Macaca mulatta: one gene and its partners. The protein of the gene in region 1 interacts with the protein of each later gene in a pairwise test. Links are inferred from orthologs where the notes say so. Each region holds a gene or a part of one and is shown in the gene's direction. Other genes may lie near its edges.

What was found. The genes of interacting proteins can lie anywhere in the genome.
Region 2: the proteins of CREB3 (region 1) and APOA2 interact in a two-hybrid assay, tested with the Homo sapiens proteins (3 studies listed by BioGRID and IntAct). The link is inferred for Macaca mulatta from reciprocal best matches to the Homo sapiens genes CREB3 and APOA2.
Region 3: the proteins of CREB3 (region 1) and VTI1B interact in a two-hybrid assay, tested with the Homo sapiens proteins (2 studies listed by BioGRID and IntAct). The two-hybrid records come from large-scale screens. The link is inferred for Macaca mulatta from reciprocal best matches to the Homo sapiens genes CREB3 and VTI1B.
Region 4: the proteins of CREB3 (region 1) and TMEM140 interact in a two-hybrid assay, tested with the Homo sapiens proteins (2 studies listed by BioGRID and IntAct). The two-hybrid records come from large-scale screens. The link is inferred for Macaca mulatta from reciprocal best matches to the Homo sapiens genes CREB3 and TMEM140.
Region 5: the proteins of CREB3 (region 1) and MARCHF5 interact in a two-hybrid assay, tested with the Homo sapiens proteins (2 studies listed by BioGRID and IntAct). The two-hybrid records come from large-scale screens. The link is inferred for Macaca mulatta from reciprocal best matches to the Homo sapiens genes CREB3 and MARCHF5.

What each region holds. Positions count from the first base shown.
Region 1 is NC_133420.1:63,961,367-63,966,275, reverse strand, and holds the start of CREB3 (cyclic AMP-responsive element-binding protein 3), read left to right. Parts: upstream 1-1,544; 5' UTR 1,545-1,924; coding exon 1,925-2,053; intron 2,054-2,146; coding exon 2,147-2,297; intron 2,298-2,368; coding exon 2,369-2,436; intron 2,437-2,550; coding exon 2,551-2,640; intron 2,641-4,271; coding exon 4,272-4,378; intron 4,379-4,468; coding exon 4,469-4,537; intron 4,538-4,909. UniProt on the Homo sapiens protein: Endoplasmic reticulum (ER)-bound sequence-specific transcription factor that directly binds DNA and activates transcription. Plays a role in the unfolded protein response (UPR), promoting cell survival versus ER stress-induced apoptotic cell death.
Region 2 is NC_133406.1:105,659,810-105,663,639, forward strand, and holds APOA2 (apolipoprotein A-II), read left to right. Parts: upstream 1-1,757; 5' UTR 1,758-1,840; intron 1,841-2,010; 5' UTR 2,011-2,034; coding exon 2,035-2,086; intron 2,087-2,359; coding exon 2,360-2,492; intron 2,493-2,887; coding exon 2,888-3,005; 3' UTR 3,006-3,118; downstream 3,119-3,830. UniProt on the Homo sapiens protein: May stabilize HDL (high density lipoprotein) structure by its association with lipids, and affect the HDL metabolism.
Region 3 is NC_133412.1:140,848,683-140,853,501, reverse strand, and holds the start of VTI1B (vesicle transport through interaction with t-SNAREs homolog 1B), read left to right. Parts: upstream 1-1,807; 5' UTR 1,808-1,919; coding exon 1,920-2,034; intron 2,035-4,819. UniProt on the Homo sapiens protein: V-SNARE that mediates vesicle transport pathways through interactions with t-SNAREs on the target membrane. These interactions are proposed to mediate aspects of the specificity of vesicle trafficking and to promote fusion of the lipid bilayers.
Region 4 is NC_133408.1:174,969,704-174,974,533, forward strand, and holds the start of TMEM140 (transmembrane protein 140), read left to right. Parts: upstream 1-1,818; 5' UTR 1,819-1,999; intron 2,000-4,830.
Region 5 is NC_133414.1:104,261,534-104,266,378, forward strand, and holds the start of MARCHF5 (E3 ubiquitin-protein ligase MARCHF5), read left to right. Parts: upstream 1-1,833; 5' UTR 1,834-1,966; coding exon 1,967-2,001; intron 2,002-4,845. UniProt on the Homo sapiens protein: Mitochondrial E3 ubiquitin-protein ligase that plays a crucial role in the control of mitochondrial morphology by acting as a positive regulator of mitochondrial fission and as an important regulator of immune response.

The sequences.
Region 1 (4,909 bases):
CCTTCTCCCGTGGCAACAGTGATTCCTTGGTCAGCTTCCCCCATAGTCAACAGCTCCTTCTTCCCTAGGCAGTCTCCAACTTGTGACTAGGCCTTGTACATCCTGGGTCCCTATTTCCCACCTATGTTGTATGTAAACAACATAGTCCAGAATCTCTGTCCCCTAACTGTGGTGGCCACAGCAAGGGCCTTAGGCTTAGAGAATGGAATAAAGATGCTGGAATCCCAGATGCCTGCAATAAGCCAGAACACTAGCCTGAAATTAGTTTGTTATCTCTCTGGGTGAAAAGAAGCCCCTGTAACTACACAGGAATAAAGGACTTCCCTACAAAAGAAGGGCATTTACCTACTGCCAACCTCTTAAATTTCATCTGCTCAAGGCCAACTATGCTAGCCTCAATTACAACCCCTAAAGTTGCCCCAAATTCCTAACATTAACCCCACCTCTAATTTGTTTCCTGATTCCCACTACCGGCTTGGACATTCATCCCTTTCCCAGCAGAGACTCATATCCAATCCCTGATCCCTGATACTGATCTAAGTTTTACCTTTAGCACCAAATCGCCTGATGTTAACCCTAAATGTTGACCCCTAAGCCTAAAGTTCATTTGTAACTTGATTCCTAACTCACGCTTTCACTGTTTATCCTTAATACCGACCATGTCAACATTCTTTAATCCCTCAAACAGGCTCTAACCTGATTCCTGTTGTTGACCCTTAACCCGACCCTGAACTCAAATTATGACGTATGATGGCCATCCCAGCAAACAAAATAATGACCTTAATCTAAACCTTACCTACCTAAAACGGACCTGACTCACACTACTAACTCTTAAGTTTTAACCCCAGCTTTTAACTCCTATAGCGACCCTTGATTCCTAAACGGACCCCACCTAATCCCCAACTCACCCAAAGCTTTCCTACCCACATGGCCGCTATCAGCTAACACCAAAGCCCGTCCCCGTCCTGCGCCCCGCTGCTACCCGACTCCTCACGCTCCCCAAAGCCTATCCCAGGCAGAGGACTGCCCCCAGGAGAGGCCTGTCTCCCCTAAGACGGCCTACTTCACGATGAGCCCAAGTTGAGATGCGCTGGACGCTGACCTCTCCAACTAACAGGACCCGAACCGGACACGCAGGAGAGGCAGGGCCCCGCCCGCCCCCGGGGCCAGGCTCCGCGGCCCCACCCTAAGGCCCCCGCCCGGCCCGGTCTGGCCTACCTGCGCTGCCCGGCTCTGCGCCCCGCCTGCCGGCCCGCCGGCCCGCTGCCCTGCCGCTTCTCGGGTCGCCCTCGGGCTCCGGCCTCGCCCTCCCTTCGACACTCTCTCGGCCACTTCCGTCCTGGGAACGTCCCCCACCCGCGGGCGGCGCCCTGGGGCAGCGCTCTATGGTCGCGGGGGGCAGGCAGGAAGCTGCTCTGGCCGCGTTCTCGATGCTCGGGGGCCGCCAAAGGCCGGCAGCCCCTCCCTGGCAGGAAGCGAGGGTGCGGCGCAATCCGGAGAGAACGCCAAGACGACGCCCGAGTTCCCTTTCAGGCCAGAACTCTTCCTTTTTCTAGCTTGGGGGAGAAGGCGGAGCCGGAGCCCCGGAACCCCCGCCCTCGGGGTGCGAGGCGGCAGCAGGGCCGTCCCCTACATTTGCATAGCCCCTGGGACGTGGCGCGGCACCCAGGCCTCTTCTCAGTTGGAGGGAACTCCAAGTCCCACAGTGCCACGGGGTGGGGTGCGTCACTTTCGCTGCGTTGGAGGCTGAGGAGAATTGAGCCTGGGAGGCGGGTCCGGAGAGGGCTACGGAAAGCCCCCGGCCGGGAAGCCCGGCCGTAGAGGGACAGTGGATAGGTGCCCGAGGCCTACAGCTGGCCTGGGGCTCGTGTCTGGGCTTCGGACGTTGGGGCCCGGTAGCCCACCCTTTCCGTAGTTGTCCCAAATGGAGCTGGAATTGGACGCTGGTGACCAAGACCTACTGGGCTTCCTGCTAGAGGAAAGTGGAGATTTGAGGACGGCGCCCGATGAGTCCGTGAGGGCCCCACTGGACTGGGAGCTGCCGCTTTCTGAGGTGCGTTGGGGTTCTGACTGGGGAAAGCGTGGGATGTCCATGAGGTCAGGGGATGGTGATAGGTCAAGGCCTGTTCACTGGAACCCTGCGCAGGTACCGAGCGACTGGGAGGTAGATGATTTGCTGAGCTCCCTGCTGAGTCCCCCAGCGTCGTCGTTGAACGTTCTCAGCAACTCCAACCCCTGCCTTGTCCACCATGACCACACCTACTCCCTCCCACGAGAACCTGTCTCTATGGATCTAGGTGAGTCTGAAATAAGTTTGGGGGGAGGACAGGGTTCATGGGCCTGGCTATTCATACGTTCCCTTTTGCAGAGAGTGAGAGCTGTAGAAAAGAGGGGACCCAGATGACTCCACAGCATATGGAGGAGCTGGCAGAGCAGGTACTTGACTTGATTTTCAGGATGATTACTCTCACATTCCTCAGGTGGGGGCAGGATTCCCCATTCCTCTGTGACATCCCCATGCAACTGCCGCCCACTTTCTGGTTACCCTAGGATATTGTTAGGCTGGTACTGACAGATGAGGAGAAGAGTCTATTGGAGAAGGAGGGGCTTATTCTGCCTGAGACACTTCCTCTCACTAAGGTAAGACTCTCGTTAGTTGAGCAAAGGCTGAAAAGGGATTAAAAGTCTCAAGTAGGCCAATTCTGTTAACTTTATATCAATAACTTTAAAAAAGGATTGAGGTGAGAAACTTAGCAGATTTATTGCTAATAGGAAGTTGAGGCAGGTACCCAATATGCTAGATGCAAGGCAGATCCTCATTTTCGTTGGGCTTACACAAATTTTGGTGTTCTGTTAAAAAACAAACAAAAAAAACCCTCAAAATTATCAGTGCAACATTAGTATTGGGCCTTGGAAAGGACTGTGTAAGTGAAGGGCCTTGACACTTCATTGGCTTCATAGTAATCCACCTCTTGCTGAATGGTAGAACTGTTTAGAGAGTTCAACACGATTGGACTAAGCAGTACATGAATAAATGCAAAATCCTTAGTTTCCAGTTTTAAGCAATCAGTGGCAACTTCACAAGCAGAGTACTGGGATACTATGATGAAATCAGTGCTCATTAATAGAAAAGTTCCAGGAATTTTTTTTTTTTTTTGACAAGGTCTTGTTCTGTTGCACAGGCTGGAGTGCAGTGATGTGATCATGGCACACTGCAGCCTTGAATTTCTGGGCTTAGGTGATTCTCCCACCTCAGCCTCCTGAGTAGCTGAGACTACAGGTGCACACCACCCTGCCTGGCAAATTTTTTTTTTGGTGTTTTTAGTAGAGATGGGGTTTTGCCTTGTTGCCAGGCTGGTCTTGAACGCCTGTGCTCAAGTGATCTACCCACCTTGGCCTCCAAAAGTAAAGAATTTTAATTCCTTCAAAGTACAAGATGAGTCAGCAGTGCGATGTGGCTACTAGGAAAGTTAATGGGATTTGGAAACTGTAGCAAGAGTTATTGTCTCCACAAGTCACTATCTTGCTTTCCTTTATACTGGCTAGAGCACATCTTTGACAGATACTAAGAAGATGCAGTCTATCCTAAGAAGATGAGTTAAAATTTTTGTCTAAGCTGTTTTTTTCTTGAACTTTTTTTCTCTGAGGAAATGTCAAATGCCTGAAAATAGCTAAACAGGGTTCATTCTATTTGGCCCCAGAGATACTAGGTAAGTCCAACGTATAGAAATTATAAGGAGACAGCTGTTGGTTCAGGATAAGGAAGTTTTTGTTTGAAGACAGATTCTTGCTTTACTGCCCAGGTTGGAGAATAGTGGTGAGATCATGGCTCACTACAGCTTTGACCTCTCAGGCTCAAGCGATTGTCCTTCCTCAGCCTCCTGAGGAGCAGGGACCACAGGCATGTGCCACCACACCCGGCTAATTTATTTTTAGTAGAGACAAGGTCTCACTGTGTTGCTCAGGCTGGTCTCAAACTCCTGGGCTCAAGCGGTCCTCCTGCCTTAGCTCCCCAAAGTGTTGGGATTACAGGCATGAGCCATGTCACTTGAATATTGCCTGACCAATTTTTTTTTTTAATAGTTTAAAATGGTCTGGCTTGTTAGGGTTAACACATGGTCCGTGGAGGCATTCAGAAAGAATGTGAATGCCTATTGGTCAGGGAAGCTGTAGAAGGGATTTCTGTATTGGAAAGAGATGGATCTCAGTTGCCTTTCAACTTCTTGTTCTAGAGTCCCTCTAATGATACCCCTTTCCTTGTTTCCTTTCAGATGGAGGAACAAATTCTGAAACGTGTGCGGAGGAAGATTCGAAATAAAAGATCTGCTCAAGAGAGCCGCAGGAAAAAGAAGGTGTATGTTGGGGGTTTAGAGAGCAGGTATGAAAGGGAGAGGGACTCAGTTTTAAGTGTTAGGTTTTTGAAGGGAGGACACAGGCCATATCCCCATATCTTTGTTATTTCCCCCAGGGTCTTGAAATACACAGCCCAGAATATGGAGCTTCAGAACAAAGTACAGCTTCTGGAGGAACAGAATTTGTAAGTATCCCTCCAAACCATTCCCTTCCTACGCTCCTCATTTAATGTTTTCTCACTCTTTCCCCTGCCCTACACTTGATTTCTAACAGGGTGGCTGCCTTCACTAGGTCTCTGATTCTAAGAAGCTCACAGTAGTGGGGAATATATTTATAAGTAACTGAGAATAAGCTAAGTACCTAGAAAAAGAAAGGGGGTAAGAAAGACCTCATGGGCTTTCATAGGATTCTGGGGTTGGGTTGGGAAAGCATTCTAGGCAGAGAGAAAGCATCCTAGGCAAGAGGATTAGCCCAGCATAGTCCTCTTGGGCTGGAACACATGTGAGCTGGGACAGAAGGTAGAGAACGTAGAGAATGCCCGGTGAGGATTATGTGC
Region 2 (3,830 bases), on another chromosome or scaffold:
CTCGAAGTCCCCACTCTTGCCCACTTGGTGGAATGGAAACGGGTGTGAGAGTTTGGCGCAGAGCAGTAAGTTCTAGCAGAACTATTCGCTGAAAGAGCTGCTCTCTGTATTTAACCTTTCCTTCCCTGAGTCCCCAGGCAGAGTTGGCAAATAAAATCTAGGAATATGGAGCCTGGCCCCCAAATGCACTCCATCCCAGGACCGGGGCAAGCCAAAGGGCTGACCTCAAGCACTAAGCGCTCCACAGGGGAATAATTGAAGATGGAGTAAGATTTCTTGGTCTTGGAGGGTGAAGGGTGGGAGGAGGGAGAAGATCAGGAAAAATAACTAATGGATATTAGGCTTAATACCTGGGTGATGAAATAATCTGTACAACAAATCCGCATGACACAAATTTATGTATGTAACAAACCTGCACATATAGGCTGGGTGCGGTGGCTCACGCCTGTAATCCTAGCACTTTGGGAGGCCGAGGTGGGCAGATCACCTGAGGTCGGGAGTTCAAGACCAGCCTGACCAACATGGAGAAACCCCGTCTCTACTGAAAGTACAAAATTACCCAGGCGTGGTGTTGTATGCCTGTAATCCCAGCTACTTGGGAGGCTGAGGCAGGAGAATCGCTTGAACCCAGGAGACAGAGGTCGCAGTGAGCCAAGATCATGTCATTGCACTGCAGCCTGAGCAACAAGAGCAAAACTCCGTCTCAGGAAAACAAACAAACAAAAAAACCTGCACATATACTTCTGAATTTAAAACAAAAGTTAAAAAACAAAGATTTCTTGGTCTTTGGTCACTACCTCCCTCATTAGCTCTGCGCCTCCACTCTCACCTCTCAGGAATGTTCCATATACTCAGGGAGTATGCTTGGGGGGGCAAAAGGGTGAAAGATACAAATGCTTCTGATACCTATTTAACTGATTTCACCCAAATGCTTTGAACCTGAGAATGTACCTATCCCCCTCCCCTACCCCCAACAGGAGTGAGACAAGGGCCAGGGCTATTGCCCCTGCTGACTCAGTATTGGCTGATCACTGCCTAGAACTGATAAGATGATCAAATGACCAGGCACCTTCAACCTTTACCCTGGCAGAAGCCTCTTGTTCACCCCTTTTCCTGCCAGAGCCCTCCATTGGGAGGGGATGGGCGGAAGCTGTTTTCTGAATTTGTTTTACTGGGGGTAGGGTATGTTCACTGATCAGCATCCAGGTCATTCTGGGCTCTCCTGTTTTCTCCCCATCTCATTACACATTAACTCAAAAATGGACAAAATCATTTACACTTGCCTCTTACCCGACCCTCATTTTCGTAACCCCCATAGCCCTCAACCCTGTCCCTGATTTCAATTCCTTTCTCCTTTCTTCTGCTCCCCAATATCTCTCTGCCAAATTGCAATAAAGTGGGATAAGGTTGAGAGATGAGATCTACCCACAATGGAATAAAGATACCATGAGCTTTCCACGGTATGATGGGTTGATGGTATCCCATGGGTTGATATATCAGAGCTTTCCAGAGAAGTAACTTGGAATCCTGCTTCCTGCTGCATTCAAGTCCAAGGACCTCAGATCTCAAAAGAATGAACCTCAAATATACCTGAAGTGTACCCTCTTAGCCTCCACTAAGGGCTGTACCCCCTGCCTCTCACCCCGTCACCATGAGTCTTCCATGTGCTTGTCCTCTCCTCCCCCATCTGTCCAACTTGTTTATCCTAACATAATCCCTGTCCCACTGGACCCATCATAGTTCCTGTCACCTGACAGGGGGTGGGTAAACAGACAGGTATATAGCCCCTACCTCTCCAGCCAGGGCAGGCACAGACGCCAAGGACAGAGACGCTGACTAGGTAAGATAAAGAGGCAAGAGGTGTGAGCAGCATCCAAAGAGGCTTGGGCTTCAGTTGTGGAGAGGGAGAGAGCCAGGTTGAAATGGGCAGCAGGTAGGGAGATCTCTGGGGAGGAGCTGAAGCCCATTTGGCTTCAGTGTCCCCCCCAACCCCCACCACCCTCTTCCTAGGCCGCTTTCCCCACTGTCACCAACATGAAGCTGCTCGCAGCAACTGTGCTGCTCCTCACCATCTGCAGCCTTGAAGGTGGGTGTGATATGGAGAGGGGGCCAAAAGGGAGAATGTGCTGGTGGTTATAGCTACCTATCTGCCTATGCTCTTATATCCAGGTCTGGCAACTAGAGGGCTCAAAAGGAAGATCATTCCCTATCTAAAGCCCAGAAAGCCCATCCAAAGATCTGACTGGACACCTTTTTGGGGAGGGGGCGGAGAGCTGGGGTGGGTACTGGCAGAGGTATGGCAAGAGGCCAAGATTCGTTGCTGTGGACCCAGCTGAAAAGAGTGTGTGTGTGTGTGCAGGAGCTTTGGTTCGGAGACAGGCAGAGGAGCCAAGTGTGGAGAGCCTGGTTTCTCAGTACTTCCAGACGGTGACTGACTATGGCAAGGACCTGATGGAGAAGGTCAAGAGCCCAGAGCTTCAGGCCCAGGCCAAGTAAGTCTAAGGGCAAGGAGTTCAGGGGCTGTGGAACTGTGGAAAGGAAGAAGGGAAGATGAGAGGCCCCACAGAAGACTGAACCCAGGGGTGGGGATTAGGGCAGATTAGGCTTAAATTGGAGAGAAAAAGTCCTTCGTTGCCCAAAGATCCCACACGTTTCTTAGATAGAGAGGAACAGCAAGAACTGGGCCTTGAATTTCAGTCTCTAGGGTCTGTTCCTCTACCCAGCAAAGGTCTTGGCTCTACTCCCACCTAGGGGCTTTGCCATGCGATGGACCAGGCACTAGAGTTTGGGGACCTGAGTCAGTCTGCTCTGACCTCCCACCATGACCGAGGCCCCTGCCAGTGCCTAGGGTCCCTCAAATTAAACTCTAATCCCCTCACCTATCCAGGGCTTACTTTGAAAAGTCAAAGGAGCAGCTGACACCTCTGGTCAAGAAGGCTGGAACGGATCTGGTTAACTTCTTGAGCTATTTCGTGGAACTTAGAACACAACCTGCCACCCAGTGAGGTGTCCAGACCATTGTCTTCCAACCCCAGCTGGCCTCTAGAACACCCACTGGCCAGGCCTGGAGCTCCTCTCCCTACCCACTCTTTGCTACAATAAATGCTGAATGAATCCAGCTCTGAGCCTGGTATGTTTGGGGGACTGGGAAAAGTAGGGGAGTAGGAGAGGAGAAGAGGAAGGAAAAGGAAAACTCTGCTTCTAGAAGGAGAGAATTTTGGGTGTGGAGGGGTGAATAAAAGATTGAAGACACAACTGATGAAAATGACAGGGGGAGGGTGCCATGATTCTTCTCCAAACCCAAAGAGTCTCCTACGGGCTGGGCATGACTCTGCAAGAGAACACTAAAGAGGCTTTGCGTTGCACATGGAACTAGGAGAGGAAGGAAGAATTCACAAACTGAATCCCTCGATTTCTGGATGTCATAGAAAATGAGGGTACCCTGGTGGGGTGCAGTGGCTCACGCCTGTAATCTCTGCACTTTGGTAGGCCGAGGCAGGTGGATCACTTGAGATCAGGAGTTCCAGATGAGCCTGGCCAACATGGTAAAACCCCGTCTCTACTGAAAATACAAAAATTAGCCAGGTGTGGTAGCACATGCCTGTAATCCCAGCTACTTGGGAGGCTGAGGCAGGAGAATCACTTGAACCCAGGAGGCAGAGGTTGCAGTGAGCTGAGATCATGCCACTGCACTCCAGCCTGGGTGACAGAGTGAGACTCCGTCTCAAAAAAAAAAAAAAAAAAAAAGAAGAAGAAGAAAAGAAAAAAAGAAAACGAGGGTACCCCTCAGAATTTCCTCTTAGTCATTCTATGAAGAAAAGAAAGCTTCC
Region 3 (4,819 bases), on another chromosome or scaffold:
GCCCCTTATTTCTGTACTGTGACAAGTCCCAGCATTGTGTTGTGGGACTTACACAGTATACTGACAGTTACCTCAGACTTGGTCACGTCTGTGCTCAGTGCATATTAAGAGCTCAACCAAAGTGTGCTGAATCAACAGCCAATGAACTTGATCTAACAAAAATGAGGGCCCAGGAGATATAAATTAGCAAAGCATTTTCTCCTGAGCATTCATACATCTTTTAATATTTGTAGGCAGTTTAAAATTGAGCTCCCAAGCAAACATTTGAGAACAGACACCTTGAGCAAACCGTGAAATCGGTGAAAATAAGAATTTATTTTAATTTTTTTGAGATAGGATCTTGCTTTGTCACCCAGGCTGGAGTGCAGTGGCATGATCTCAGCTCACTGCAACCACTACCTCCCGGGTTCAGGTGATTCTCCTGCCTTAGCCTCCCGAGTAGCTGGGATTACAGGCGCCCACCACCACGCTCGGCTAATTTTTGTGATTTTAGCAGAGATGGGGGTTTCACCGTGTTGGCTAGGCTGGTCTCGAACTCCTGACTTCAAGTAATCCGCCCGCGTCGGCCTCCCAAAGTGCTGGGATGATGCTTGAGCCACCATGCCCGACCTGAAGACCGGCATTTATACCCATGGAGTGCAGGAAAGGACCTTGTAATTGTTAACAAGTGACACTTAGTGGCAGATGAGACCTAATGAAGCCAGGCCCACCTTCCACACCAGATTATAAATTCCCTCGGAGCAGAGAGTAAATGTTTTATTCACCAACATGCCCAGATCCCTCGCAATGCCTACGCTTGACAAACACCTGTTGTGAACAAGTGCACGAGGCAGCCTAGCAGCTAGAGTATTTCGAGGTCATCCTAACTGGGTTCCACTTTTGAATTTTTGTTTTTTGGGTTTGTTTGGAGACAAGGTCACCCTCCACTTGGGAGCAAAGTCTCCCAAGCTGGAGTGCAGTGGTGGGAACTCTGCAATCTCAACCTTGTGGACTCAAGTAATCCTCCTGCTTCAGCCTCCGGGGTAGCTGGGGCCAGAAGTGCGCGCCACCTTGCCCGGCTCCTATTTTGGGTTTCCGGTAGTGCTCTCGCTATTGTGACCAGGCTGGTCTCGAACTACTGGGTTCAAGCAATCCTCCCACCTCGGCCTCCCAAAGTACTGGGATTACAGACGCGAGCCACTCGCCCGGCCAAGTTCCACTTCTGAAAGCTTGGGGAGCAGCTGGGCCTTCCAGGAAAAGTGCTCCACCTCCCGACTGCAGGCAGAGCCCCCGGCCCGGCTCTTTCCAGGGCCTAAAGCTAACATTCGGTCAAGACGCGAAATGAGGAATTCGGGTCAGGGTGGCAAAGCAAAGCGCGATGACAGTGAGGACGACGTCTAGACGCAAACACACATCAAATCGGGCCGAAGCCCGCTGTCGCCTGGCGGGCTAAACCTGGCACCCCGGGCAACGCGCGACTCCGGCACCAGACGCTCTCCGAGTCAAACTACATCCCCCGGCGTGCACTGCAGCGCCCGCCCCTGGCCGGCCGGCGGGGCCTGGGAGGAAGGCGGCCGAGCTGCCCGTCCCGCAGGTCCCCTAGGGCCCTTTCTCTGCGGCCTTTCCCCACCCCGGACCGGGCACTTCTCGGGCTCTGCGACTACCATTCGCCCCGCTCGCTCCCTCAGGAGTCGCCTAGGCCGCGCAGTCTGCCGCCTTCCCGTCAGGCCTTCGCGCCGGCGCTCCCGCAATCACGGGCTAGAGAGGGTGGGCGTTCCGGCTCGGGAGGACCCTTCTGCGGCCCCGGAAGAGCCTCGTCCTGGGCAGCGGTGGTGCGGCGGTCGCCGTTATGGCCACGGGACTGGGCGGCTGACCGCCGGGCTAGGAGAGGGCCCAGAGCCCCGAATCTGGGTGGCCGCTGCTCGAGCGCGTCCTGCGCCATGGCCGCCTCCGCCGCCTCCTCGGAGCATTTCGAGAAGCTGCACGAGATCTTCCGCGGCCTCCATGAAGACCTACAAGGGGTGCCCGAGCGGCTGCTGGGGACTGCTGGGACCGGTGAGGCGCGGGTGGGCCACGCCGTGGGGAGCGCGGCCCCGCGCGCTTTGGAATTTTCCCCCACCTTCCTCCCAGACCCGGGCCCGCGTCTCCTTCCTCCGCGTCCTCAGACACGCCCCCTAGGGCTGGCTGGGTCGCAACCCCGGGTCTCCCTGCCACTGAGAGTGAATTGGGGACGCGCCCAGGGACGCGGGGTTCAGTTCCCTGGGTTCCTTCTATGGCCTTCCACATTTTCTCGTTTTTTTCCACTGCGGCAAACAGAGCAGAGGGGCTTTTACATCTGCGGTCCTGTAATGTAGCGTGGGTTTCTTTCGTAGCTGTTTTTGTTTGTTTTATGCATTTAGAAGCACTAGTGTCAAGACAGGTCTAGTTTTCACCAGACTGACAGAGGATCTGTAGCACAGAAAAAGGGTTAAAAACCCAAAAGAGTCATAATTTGGGGCGTTGGTATATACCTGTTATTGGAGGGTAGAGAGCTGGCCTTTAAAACCGTATGGTGGCGTTTAGATGTGGTCTTGTTTTGAACGTTTTTACTGCTGAGACTATTTACTACCCCTTCATTTCATGGTTCAGGTTGCTACAAGTTTTGTCTGGAGGAGCTAGAGTTTTCTGGCCCTAGATCCATAGGAAGACCTGCTATATATAGTTCTTGGCCTCCGGATATATAGAACTTGATGGCAAGGACAAAACTTTGTTTTATTGCTTTTATTTAAGGATCAGAGCTTGAGTGTTTGCTCAACGAATTACTCAAGGTCATAGGAATTGAATGACTCTGGTGAGAATGAAATGCATGTATTTAATATATATTTATTGTGAGGCTGCTGTGTGCCAGGCACTGTTCTAGGTGCTGGTGAATATTGCAAATTACAGTGAAAAAGACATGCACGTCCCCATTCTAGTGGGTAGGTGATAAACAATATATAACTATTAAGCGGCAGTGTTAAAGAATACAGGAAAATAAATCAGAGTAAAGGAATAGGGGATGGGACTTCAGTTTTATTTTATTATTATTATTATTATTATTATTTTTGAGACAGAGTCTTACTCTGTCATCCAGTCTGGAGTGCAGTGGTACGATCTCGGCTCACTGCAGCCTCCACTTCCCAGATTGAAGCAATTCTCCTGCCTCAGCCTCTGGAGTAACTGGGATTACAGTTGCGCCACCACCCCTGGCTAATTTTTTTTGTATTTTTAGTAGAGACGGGGTTTCACCATGTTGGCCAGGTTGGTCTCTAACTCCTGACCTCAAGCGATCCGCTTTCCTCGGGACTTCAGTTTTAAATAGGGCGGTTGTGAAAGTCCTCTGTGAGGAGATGGCATTTGAACTGAGACTTGAATGAAGAGAGGGAGTAAACCAGAAATCTGGGAGAAGTGAGTGTCAGAAGGAGGGAATAGCACTGCAAATGCCCTTAAGCGGAAATGAGCTTGGTGTGTTCAACGAAGAGCAGGAAGTTCCATGTGTTTGGGATGAAGTGAGCAAAGGAGAGAGGTAGGCAGGGCCAGATCATGTAGGGCCTTGTGGACCATGGTGAAAGACTTGTGCCTTTTTCTAAATATGATGGGATGCAGTTAAAATATATTGTGCAGAACCATTGTGGGATCTGATTTATGTGATTGAAAAGTTGACTGCAGGCAGGGCACGGTGACTCACACCTGTAATTCCAGTGCTTGGGGAAGCAGAGGCGGGCAGATCACTTGAGGTCAGGAGTTCAAGACCAGCCTGGCCAACATAGTGAAACCCTATCTCTACTAAAAATACAAAAATTAGCCAGGCATGGTGTCAGTTGCCTGTAGTCCCAGCTACTCAGGAAGCTGAGGCAGGAGAATTGCTTGAACCCAGGAGGCAGAGGTTGCAGTGAGCCGAGATCCTGCCGCTGCACTCTAGTCTGGGCAACAGAGCAAGACTCTGTCTCAGAAAAAAAAAAAAAAAGGAAAAGAAAAGACTGCAGGCTAGGCGTGGTGGCTCACACCTGTAATCCCAGCACTTGGGGAAGCTGAGTTAGGAGTATTGCTGTATTGAATGATTTTGAGAACAGCCTGGGCAACGTGGTGAAACGCCATCTCTACAAAAAATACAAAAATTAGCCAGGCATTGTGGTGCGTGCCTGTAGTCCCAGCTCCTGGGGAGGCTGAAGTGGGAGGATCACTTGCGCCCTGGAGCTGGAGGTTGCAGTGAGCCAAGATCGCACCACTGCACTCTAACCTGGATGACAGAGCAAGACTCTGTCTAAAAAAAAAAAAAGTAGACTGCATTTTCAACCTGGCACTGAGTTAATTTTTGCATTGCCCATTTCTATAAGGCTAAATAATGCAAAAGAACATTGCTTGAAAAATAGAAAATTGAATTCATTATTACTATGGTTTGAATGTCCCCTCTAAAACTTATGTTGAAATTTATTTGCCATTTTAATCGTGTTAAGAGGTGGGACCCATAAGAAATGATTAGACCATGAGGGCTCCATCCTCAGGGATTGGATTGTTATCCTGAGAGTGGGTTGGTTGCTGAGAGAGTGGGTTAGTTCAGCCCTCTCCTGCTTGCCTGCTCTCTTGATCTGTTGCTCTTCCACCTTCTGCCATAGGGTGACACATGGGTAGCAAGAAGGCCCTTGAAAGAATCAGGCCCCTCAGCCTTGGGCTTCCCAGCCTCCGGAACTCTGAGAAATACATTTCTTTTCTTTATAAATTACCCAGACTCAGCTATTCTGTTATAGCAACATAAAGCTAAGATAGTTACATTCACGTTTGTTGTCTCCCCAGCCTTTTTCTCCATCCTGCAAAGAGGACA
Region 4 (4,830 bases), on another chromosome or scaffold:
TCAGAACACACAAACAATTATCAATTAAGTTCACCGTCATATGGGTGCGGTTCGTGGCACCGCAAAACAATCACAATAGTAACATCAAAGATCACCATAACCAATATAATAATAATGAAAAAGTTTGAAATGTTGCAAAAGTTACCAAAATGTGACACTGGGACATGAAGTGAGCAAAGGCTATTGAAAAAATGGTGCCAATAGTCTTGCTCGATGCAGGGATGCAACAAATCCTCAATTTGTAAAAGATGCAGGATCCACAAAGAGATGCACAATAAAATAAAGTATACCTATGCATATTACAATATTGTAAACACTGAATATTGATTTAAACAAAACTATAACCAATTTGGATAGAGGAGGAAGAGAGGAAGCATATTTCTGGAACACGCAGTTGGGAAGAAGAAAGCTAAATCTTCACCTTCTATGGTTGGGAGTCAGTAGATTATGCCTGAAACTGAAAAATCAAGAAGTATCAATCCAAGCATGTTATTTAGAGAACTGAGGTAAATGCCTAAAGAATGAGCACAGGTGAAAGTGCTTGCCTCTGAAGAAGAAGACAGGGAGAGTGTGGGACTGCCGATTTTCATACAAGTTTTGAAAAACTATTTGACTCTTTGAAAACTAGGTACATGGTAACCTTAAATAAATTTCATAAATATAAATATGTTTCTATCTCTTCTATATTACTTCACTCATCAGTATTGAGTTTTCAGAGTAACTACTTTATATTGGTATCTAAAAGTTAATTTTCTCTGTCTTAAAGGCTAGACTAAATATACAGAAATTCCATTTTTCATAATAATAGCTACCACTACTATGTTCCCAGTATTGTACTAAGCGCTTATATTATTTCCAGTCCCCAGAGCAACCATGCAAAGTAGGTACTGTTTCCATTTTACAGATAAGAAGTTGATGCTCAAAGAGATTAAATAATTTGCTAGTATGTAGCAGAACTCTCTGATCTCAAAGCCTCTGTTCTTCTTTCCACCTGGATCCCATCACCTCTTTCTAGAGTTTGAGTTTAAAAGAACTAGGGGCAGGGGGAGGGCAATGTAGCAGTTCAAAGAACTCCTCCTTTGGAGGAAGGGCAGGGAAGCAGAAGAGAAACGCTGAAGGATTCAGCAATAGCACTAGGTAGCGGACTCATGTAACCAAGTTTAACCCACAGTTGAAATTTCCAGTTGGTCATGTGAGCAACGGAAGCAATTTTTAAACTCTGGCCAAAAGCCCCAATGCTTACAAAAATAAAAGCTTTGTTCTGCTCTTATTTTGAAATAAAATAGATGTTCCAGCTGCTCCAACATGGGCCTAAATACCCTAGTAAGAATGCTCAGGACACAAAATTTTGTGTCCAGAGAAGCCCAGTCATCATTACAAAACTGATCTCTGAAAGGGGATGGGGGGACAGACGGCATAGCTGCTTCCCAAGAGAATAAGTAGGAGGTGACCTGGGTCCTGACTGCCACATTGGCTGAGAGCTTGGACCAGATGATCCTGAGGGGTTTCTTCTGAATAAAAATCCAGGTTGTGTTTATCTTGCAGTTTAAATCACTGGGAGCTTCGAGAGTTCTTCGGCTACTTCCCTTTCTGGAATTATTGTGTGATATAATCAAGACATTTCCTGGCTCTTTAAATCAGTTGGTTTGCCAGCTACAGTGTGAGTAAAGAGTATGTCATGAAGCACAGTAAAAAGTTGTTTACATACCTCATTTCTGAAAAGTCATGGGTCACTGACAAGTTAAGAAACGAAAGTGAAATCAGCTGATAGTGACATCAGTCAGAACAAATGTACCAAAGTTCAGAGAGCTGTTTACTAGGCACAACTGTGAATGCGAGAGGGCACCAGCTCAGGACTGCATCCTCCTGCCATTTCCCTTCCACTCCTCCTTTCTGGAGTCTGACATTAGAAAGCCAGCGAGAAGGAAGATTCAAATAACCAACCCTAATTTCCTGCTTCTCCTTTTCATTGTTCCTATGGGCTCTTCACCTGCTTTCTGTAAGTACTGATCCTGCAAGCATCACAGCTTACCCAGACGTCCACTACCTTGTAAGACAATTTTGTTTTCTTCTCAGATATTTCACGTTCTGGCAATCCGCACAGGGGAACTCACTGGTTGTTCCGTATCTCTGACCTTCCCTCCCTCACGTCTGTATAATCTACATAATCTACCCCCTTTACTCTCTGCTCTCCTTCCTTCCACTCTGCAGCATCAACATGTGTAGCTCTGGCCTCAAAGATGATGAAAGTAAGGCCAGTGTAACTGGTTAGAAATGATGCAGGGCTGACTACGCACAGCAGAGTCTTGCACGCAGTGTGTACAAGGACACAGCTGTGGCTGGTGCGACACACTGTTCATCAGAAACAGGCAAACAAAAGCAGGTCACCGACCACCACTAACTAAACCACTATTCAAAGGTAGTTATGAACACATCATAAAACTTTAAAATACACACCGAAAATTCATATCAACAGAAAAACTTGTGTTCTTGCCTCAAAGATTAGGACCTAAGAGATGTTTAGATCTTATATTAGTTATTAGACCAGATTGCTTCTCATGCCCCACTGGAAATCTATGGTGGTATTTTAGTTCTCTTGGTGCATATTTTAAGAGATTTTTTTAAAATGTGGGCTTAGTTTCGCTAATAACTTCCACTATGCTTCTTTGCCTATAAAATCAAAGGCTCCTTTGGAAGAGGGAAAAGATACATATTTCCTTCTTTTCTTCCCTCATAATAACTGAAGAGCATTTTTCAATATCAACTTCCCATACCACCTTCCCCAAAATCTCAGGTCTGAGACTCGGACCATGAGATATTTTTTCAATCTTGCACATATTCCCCTTTCTCAACTTTCTTTCCAGCTTAGTCCCTGCTTTATCTAATTACTAAGGTTGCTTTGATTGTCTGTTTTATAAATTTATTTTTTTATAAATGTAGCCCATAATTCTAAAAATATTTTAATGCAAATAGAGAAGAACAATTGCCTGTAATGTGACTACCCAGAGCTACCACAGCTAACATTAACATTTTCAAATACTTCTTTAGTCTCTTTCTCCTATGCCTCTTTATATGGATGTAGGCACACTATGTAGAGTGATTTTATACCTGCTTTTTCTAAAAGATGCATAGTATTTTATCCTTGATACGTCATAGTTGACTTCTAATATTGGACTTTCAAGCCGCTTCCCATTTTGTGCCAAAACTAATGCTGTGCTGAACATTCCTATGTATAAATTATCGACTGGATTTCTGATTGCTATCTTAGGATAGATTTATAAAAGTGGGCCAAAGAGATATGACTGTTTTTAGGGTTTTTAATGTGTATTGCCAATCTGCCTCCCTGAAAGTTTGTACAGATGTTCACATCCACCATCACTGTGTGAGAATGCCAGTTTTACCGTAGACTTTTGGTATCATCAAGTGTTTTTACCTACAGTGTTGACAGGGAAACTCAGGTTACTTTATTTGGCGTATCTTTAAAAAAGTTACAGAATTTTTTTTTCATGTTAGTTAACTACTTTGCATTCTTTGTGAATTATCTCTTCATATTTGTCCATTTTTAATGAGGTTTAATGTTTTTTCACAGTTTGCATAAACATTTTAAACGTTAAGTACATTAGTCATTTCATAGTTGTGATAGGTATTTTCCATATGCTCATTGATTTTTAATTATATTTATGTTGTTTTTGGTGAAGAGAAATCTAGATTTTAGAATAGTTAAACCTGTGCAATTCTTTCTTTGTAGTTTCCATTTGCTCTTAAGTTCCAAATTTTATTTTTCACTCATAAATCAAATATATCCTTTTTTCCAGATCTTTGATTCTTTTTATGGTTTTACCTTTCACTCTTGGATCCACGTGAAATTTATTTCGGTATGTGGAGTGAGATGAGGACCTAAAATAGTTTTATTTCTCTTTTCTAGTTAGCTAATCAATTGCTTCAACATTAGTTAATGAAGAACGCTTTCAGGACGCAAAACAAATGTCTCTTCTGAAGACAGGCTTTCCCCGACCCTATAATCTAGTCATCACTTCCTCCTGCCAGTTTCTCTCCCTCACTCACCCTGTTTATTTCCTTCCCAAAGCTTTTCAAAAAGTATAATTATCTTTTAAAAAATAGTTTGGTGTTTGCCTTCCGAACTAGAGTACAAGCTCAATGAGAGCAGGCACCTGGTTTGTCCTGGCACTGATTCCCCGGGGCCTCTGATTCAGGCGGTCATCCAAAATGTTTCACTAATAGAGTTACAAGATGAAATGCTGACCCCATCAGTCGAAGTGGGTGGCAAATTGCCTTTGTAATTGCAGAAGAGAGGGCTGGAGCAGGAAAACTAACCATTGACAGCCAAAGGCAAGGCAATCACTAGTTTCTGGTACTACTGATTCTCAAACGCTGAATCTTGTGAATCTTAGCTGCCCATAAACTGGACCATGGACTCCTGCCAACAGAAACCAAATGAGATTAGCTAGGCGTGGTGGCGGGAGGCTGAGGCAGGTGAATTGCTTGAACCCGGAAGGCAGAGATTGCAGTGAACCAAGATGGTGCCACTGCACTCCACCCTGGGCGACAGAGCGAGACTCTGCCTCAAACAAACAAATTAGGATGGGTCATTTGTAGACATTTTCTCATTTTTAAGGATCTTCTTCTCCCTCTAAACTTTATGTAACCTTTGTACCCACTTGGATTATCTGCTAGTGAGAGCTAATAATCAACAAAACAATTGCACAAATAGCAAGTTAACTAATATTAATGGAATCATTTAAACAGCTATCTCAGTGGCTTGTTAACCGGGTGCCTGGACTCATGCTTCTGACTTTATGTTACAGTCTC
Region 5 (4,845 bases), on another chromosome or scaffold:
GATAGCACCACTGCTCTCCAGCCTGGGCAACAGCAAGACTCTCAAAATAAATTAATTAAATAAAATATTAGACACTGGCCACATGCGGTGACTCACGCCTGTAATCCCAACATTTTGGGAGACTGATGCGGGTGGATCGCTTGAGCCCAGGCGTTCCAAGACCAGCCTGGGCAACAAGGCGACAAGGTGAAACCACGTCTCTACAAAAATATATATATAATACATATCATATAATATCATATGTATATATTACATAATATATATGTTATATTATATATTACATTATATATTATGTAATATATATAATACAAATATATATAAAATATTAGACATCCCGATTATACTACTCATTTTCTTTCGCTAGGAGGCGTGTGTGTGTGTGTGTGTGTGTGTGTGTGTGTGTGTGGTGGGGGGGTGCTGTTTCTCAAAAGCATATTTCAAAAATTGGAGGCCAAGTAAACTTCTGGTCACATTTTTGAGGGTTTGTTTTTTCCCAGCAATGAACGCTCTAGTTCAAATATACTTCGTAAATTTTGAACAGATAATAAAAAGTTGATTGTAAAACTCTACATTTAAAAAGAGCTTTAAAAACACATTTTCATTTTTTAAAAAATCAAACATCTTGCAGCAGAAATTAGACACAATCAAGGGAAAACTACCAGCGTCCTACCAGTCACAACCCTAGAGAAAATGCCACAGGTCGTCCAAAAAACGCATTCATTTGAGCCAACAGCTCTTTCCTCCCGCCAAAGCTATCCCTCGAACGTCAGAAGCTGACCCAAGGAGTGATTGATGATTTCTCCTTTTTGATTCCCCCTCACCCCCGCCACTCCCAATCCACCTGCTTTAAGGTGTCAACGCGACTACAAACGGTTAACAGTGACCAGCAGCAGAGAGAAACAAACGTCCCTGACAACCCACAGCTGAGTAAGCAAGAGCTGTTTATTCACCAACGTGTTCCATTTGGAGACTGTCGGCGAGCCCTGGAAAGCCCAAGCACATTAAGGTTCCTGGAGAGGGAGAGAATCATCTTTCCTTCCCCCCACTCCCCAGCCCCAAACACACACTGAGAGACTCGGGTGGAAGCCGTCTGGTCCAGGCAGTCCCGACTTGCCCGCCCCCTCAAGAAAAACCTCACGCACCAAAGCAGCCGACCCCTTGCGGGGGTGGTGTAATTCCCCCAAAATGGGCTCTGCCGCAGGAGAGGCTGGCTGCAGCGCCGGGGGCTTCGGAAGGAGTTACTGCCACCCCCAATGCCGCCACTGCCCGCCCTGACGCCACGGCCGGGGCTGGGGACCCTGATGAGAAATGGCCCTTCAGCCCCCTCCCCTCACCTGGCTCGGTCCCACCTGAGGGCTAGAGCGGAGGCAAAAAGAAACAGGCAGGGAGGGCTGACCTTGTTGCTACTGACAGTGGAGCGGCGCATCCTGCTGCTTCCTGGAAAGCGGCCCGAAAGACATTTTTTGCCCCTGGAGGAAGGAAACGGGAGGGCGCCGGCCGGACGGCGGCGGGCGCGGAGGCGTTGGTCCGGGCAGGCTGTGCAGCCTCTAAGCAGGGACGGTCCGAGGACTACATCTCCCAGGCTGCTTTGGGCCGCCCTGCGTCGTAACCCCGGCGCGCACGGAGGCGGTGACTCTTACCTCACAAAGGTAGCTCCTCCGCCGGCAGCAACTCGGCGCCCGCGGTCCATGGACCGGAACCTCGGGCCGACGGACAGGAACCCGGGCCGCGATCGCCGCCTCCCCGCCTCAGGCTCCTCCTCCTCGTTCTCCGCCGCCTCCACCGGACGCCCGCAGGCCCCGCACCGCCGCCGCCCGGCTAGCGCAGCTGCCCCGGGAAGCTGGGTGACTGGTTCGCGGCTGCCGCCGGACTGCGGCCTACTCCGCTGTCTCTCAGTGCTATTGTCCCTGGGCCTGGCCTTGAGCGGGTCCACTGGGGAGGGCCGAGTGCGCCGGCTCCGCGGAAGATGCCGGACCAAGCCTTACAGCAGATGCTGGACAGGTACGGGCAGCTGTTGGGGGGGGACCGGGAGCCGCCGACCCTCGCTCTGGCCCTGCCCGCGCCCGCCCTCGAGGCTCTTGGTGAGCAGAACTCGGCGTGCCGGGAGGAGTTCCACGGCCGGGGGGCCGTGAGAGGGGCAGAAAGTTTGGAGTCTAGACTTGGGGAGGACAGAACGAGCGGCCTGGGTCGTAGACTTTGGGTGAAACTTAGCTAAGGAGTGGCGTCTGGTTTCTTTGGAACCCCGTTTTGACGTGAGAGGGACCCATGTTAATCCACAAAATTAGTTTTCCTTACCCTCCTCGCCTCCCCCTTCCTCCCTCCCCAACTTGTAAAGTGTCAGCGATGTCACTGGCAAGAAGAACCGGGTTATCTTTCAGGAGAATGACCCCCTTACAATTTTAAGTCTCTGTCTGAGAACCAATGATAAACATTCTTTTAGAAAGCCTGATAGGCTGATTTCGTTCTCTCCCCTTTCCCTGAGCCCGCACCACCCTCCCCCCGCCCCATCCCGTCCCCACCTCCGAACTGTAAGGTCAGAGTATCCGCAAGGGAGCTTTAACGGTCAGACCAAAGTAGAGGTTATGGAAAACAGCCAAATGAGTCCAATGCTGAACACTTAGTGTACTTGGCGATCGTTGGGTTCATTGAAAACGTTTCAGCTCGTACAGGAGTCCAGTTGCCCATTCTTGGGGGGCCCCAGTCTGTAAAACTCTTTGTGAAGTCGGGTGCACCGCCCTCTGCTGTTGAAATTCTAGTCCGTGGGTTCTACCATGAGTTTTGGGAGACTCTAGATCCACATTTCCCCCCAGCTGAGTCTTACTTTCTGGCATAGCAAGTTGTACAAGCTAATTCATAATGTTTGTGGTTGCTTACAATTCTCAGCAGACATCACTTGCCACCCATTTCAGCAGGTGGTACCAACTCTTTGTACTCAGTAAAATTCCAACTGTAAGGTGTTAAATGAAGGCCCTCCCTTGAGTTTATACCCAGTTAAATGCTGTTTGGGTCTGCCACACCCAGAACACAAGTGACCCAAGTGTACACATCCTTCCAGAGTGACAGACATTTTCTTGGAGCTTAGAATTTTGAGCCATCTCAGTTGATAGAAATTATGTCACTAATTTTTTTCAGTTGAGGTAACTGGTGATTCATCCAGCCCTTGTTTCAGGTCAACATTCTGACAATTGTATTGACCACCCTTTTATGTATGTGTGTGGTTTATAAGCTCTTGGAAGGCAGAAACTTACTCACTATTTATCTTGAATCCCAGAACAGAGCCTGGTACTCAGTAGGTAATCAGTAAGTATTTGCTGTATGAACTGACGCACAAAGTTATTTGTCAGTTTCCCCAGTTGTCTAGGGGTCTGATAATTTACCAGGTTTTCCTTTCATTGTAAATTGGCAAATTAAAATATGCCCAGAGGAGACCACCTGCCACTGCCAGTTCTGTTCTGTTGAAACCCTGTTTTGATGCAGGGTATTTTGTAATTAATTTTTTCCTCTGAGGGCCTCCTTTCATTTTTACATAGTGACTTTTTTTCTTCTTTTTTTGAGACAGGGTCTCTGTTGCCCAGACTGGAATGCAGTGGCAGTGGCAGTGGTCTGATCTCAGCTCACTGCAACCCCTGCCTCCCGGGCTCAGGTGATCCTCCTACCTCAGCCTCCCTAGTAGCTGGGACCACAGCACATACCACCATACCCAGCTAATTTTTTGTATTTTTATAGAGCCGGAGTTTTGCCATGTAGCCCCTGCTGGTCTCAAACTCCTGGGCTCAAGTGATCCAAGTGATCCTCCCGCCTAGCCTCCCAAAGTGCTGTGTCGTCAAGCATGAGCTATCGCGCCCGGCCTAGAAAAGTTCTTATGTCCAAAAGCTGACCTGGCTTTTCATATGCTCTTTGGAGATTTCCATAAAAGTAAGAAGCCAAAGAATGAGGCTGGGCACAGTGGCTTACCCCTGCAATCCCAGCACTTTGGGAAGCCAAGGCGGGCAGATTACTTGAGGTCAGGCGTTCGAGACCAGCCTAGCCAACATGGTGAAAACCCTGTCTCTACGGGAAAAAAAAAAAAAAATTAGGCAGGCATGGTGGCATGGGCCTGTAGTTCCAACAGGAGGCTGAGGCATGAGAATTGCTTGAACCTGGGAGACGGAGGTTGCAGTGAGCCGAGATTGCACCATTGCACTCCAGCCTGGGTGACAGAGCAAAACTCCATCTCAAAAAAAAAAAAGCTAGTGAGGCATTTAAACCTCAACAGAAATGTGAAGATTCTGGCTGCCATTTACTGAAATAGGTGACTATGACACTGGCTTACTTTCATCTTTGTACTCTTTTGACATATCTTAAAGTAGATTTTTAACATGACTTTCAAAGACCTTTATTGTCTAGATTAGTAGTTGGCAACCTGTTTCCATGTTAGAATTACCTGGGGAACATTTCAAAATATGCATGGATGCTGGATCCTGTCTAAGACCAGTAAGATCAAAAATTTCTGTAGGGTAGAGCTTGGGCATCTATATTTTAAAACTTTTTAAATGTTTCAGATATGGCTGAAACCTACTGCCCTAAGTCCTAAGGCAGTGATATCTTTCAAGATAAGAGATAATAAGGCATAGTGATTAAAGCTTGGGCTCAGAGATAGAAAGCATGAAATTCAAATTTTGCCACTTACTAGCTATGTGACTTTGAATTTAGATTCTGACACTATGTATATGATCATTTATAAAATGGGAACCCTACTTCACAGGGCTACAGCAAATGAAAACATACATCTCTGTAAAACAACAAAACACTCTGTGTTAGCCCAATAGAAGGCACTTAAGACTAATGTAAACCCGTTTGGCCGTT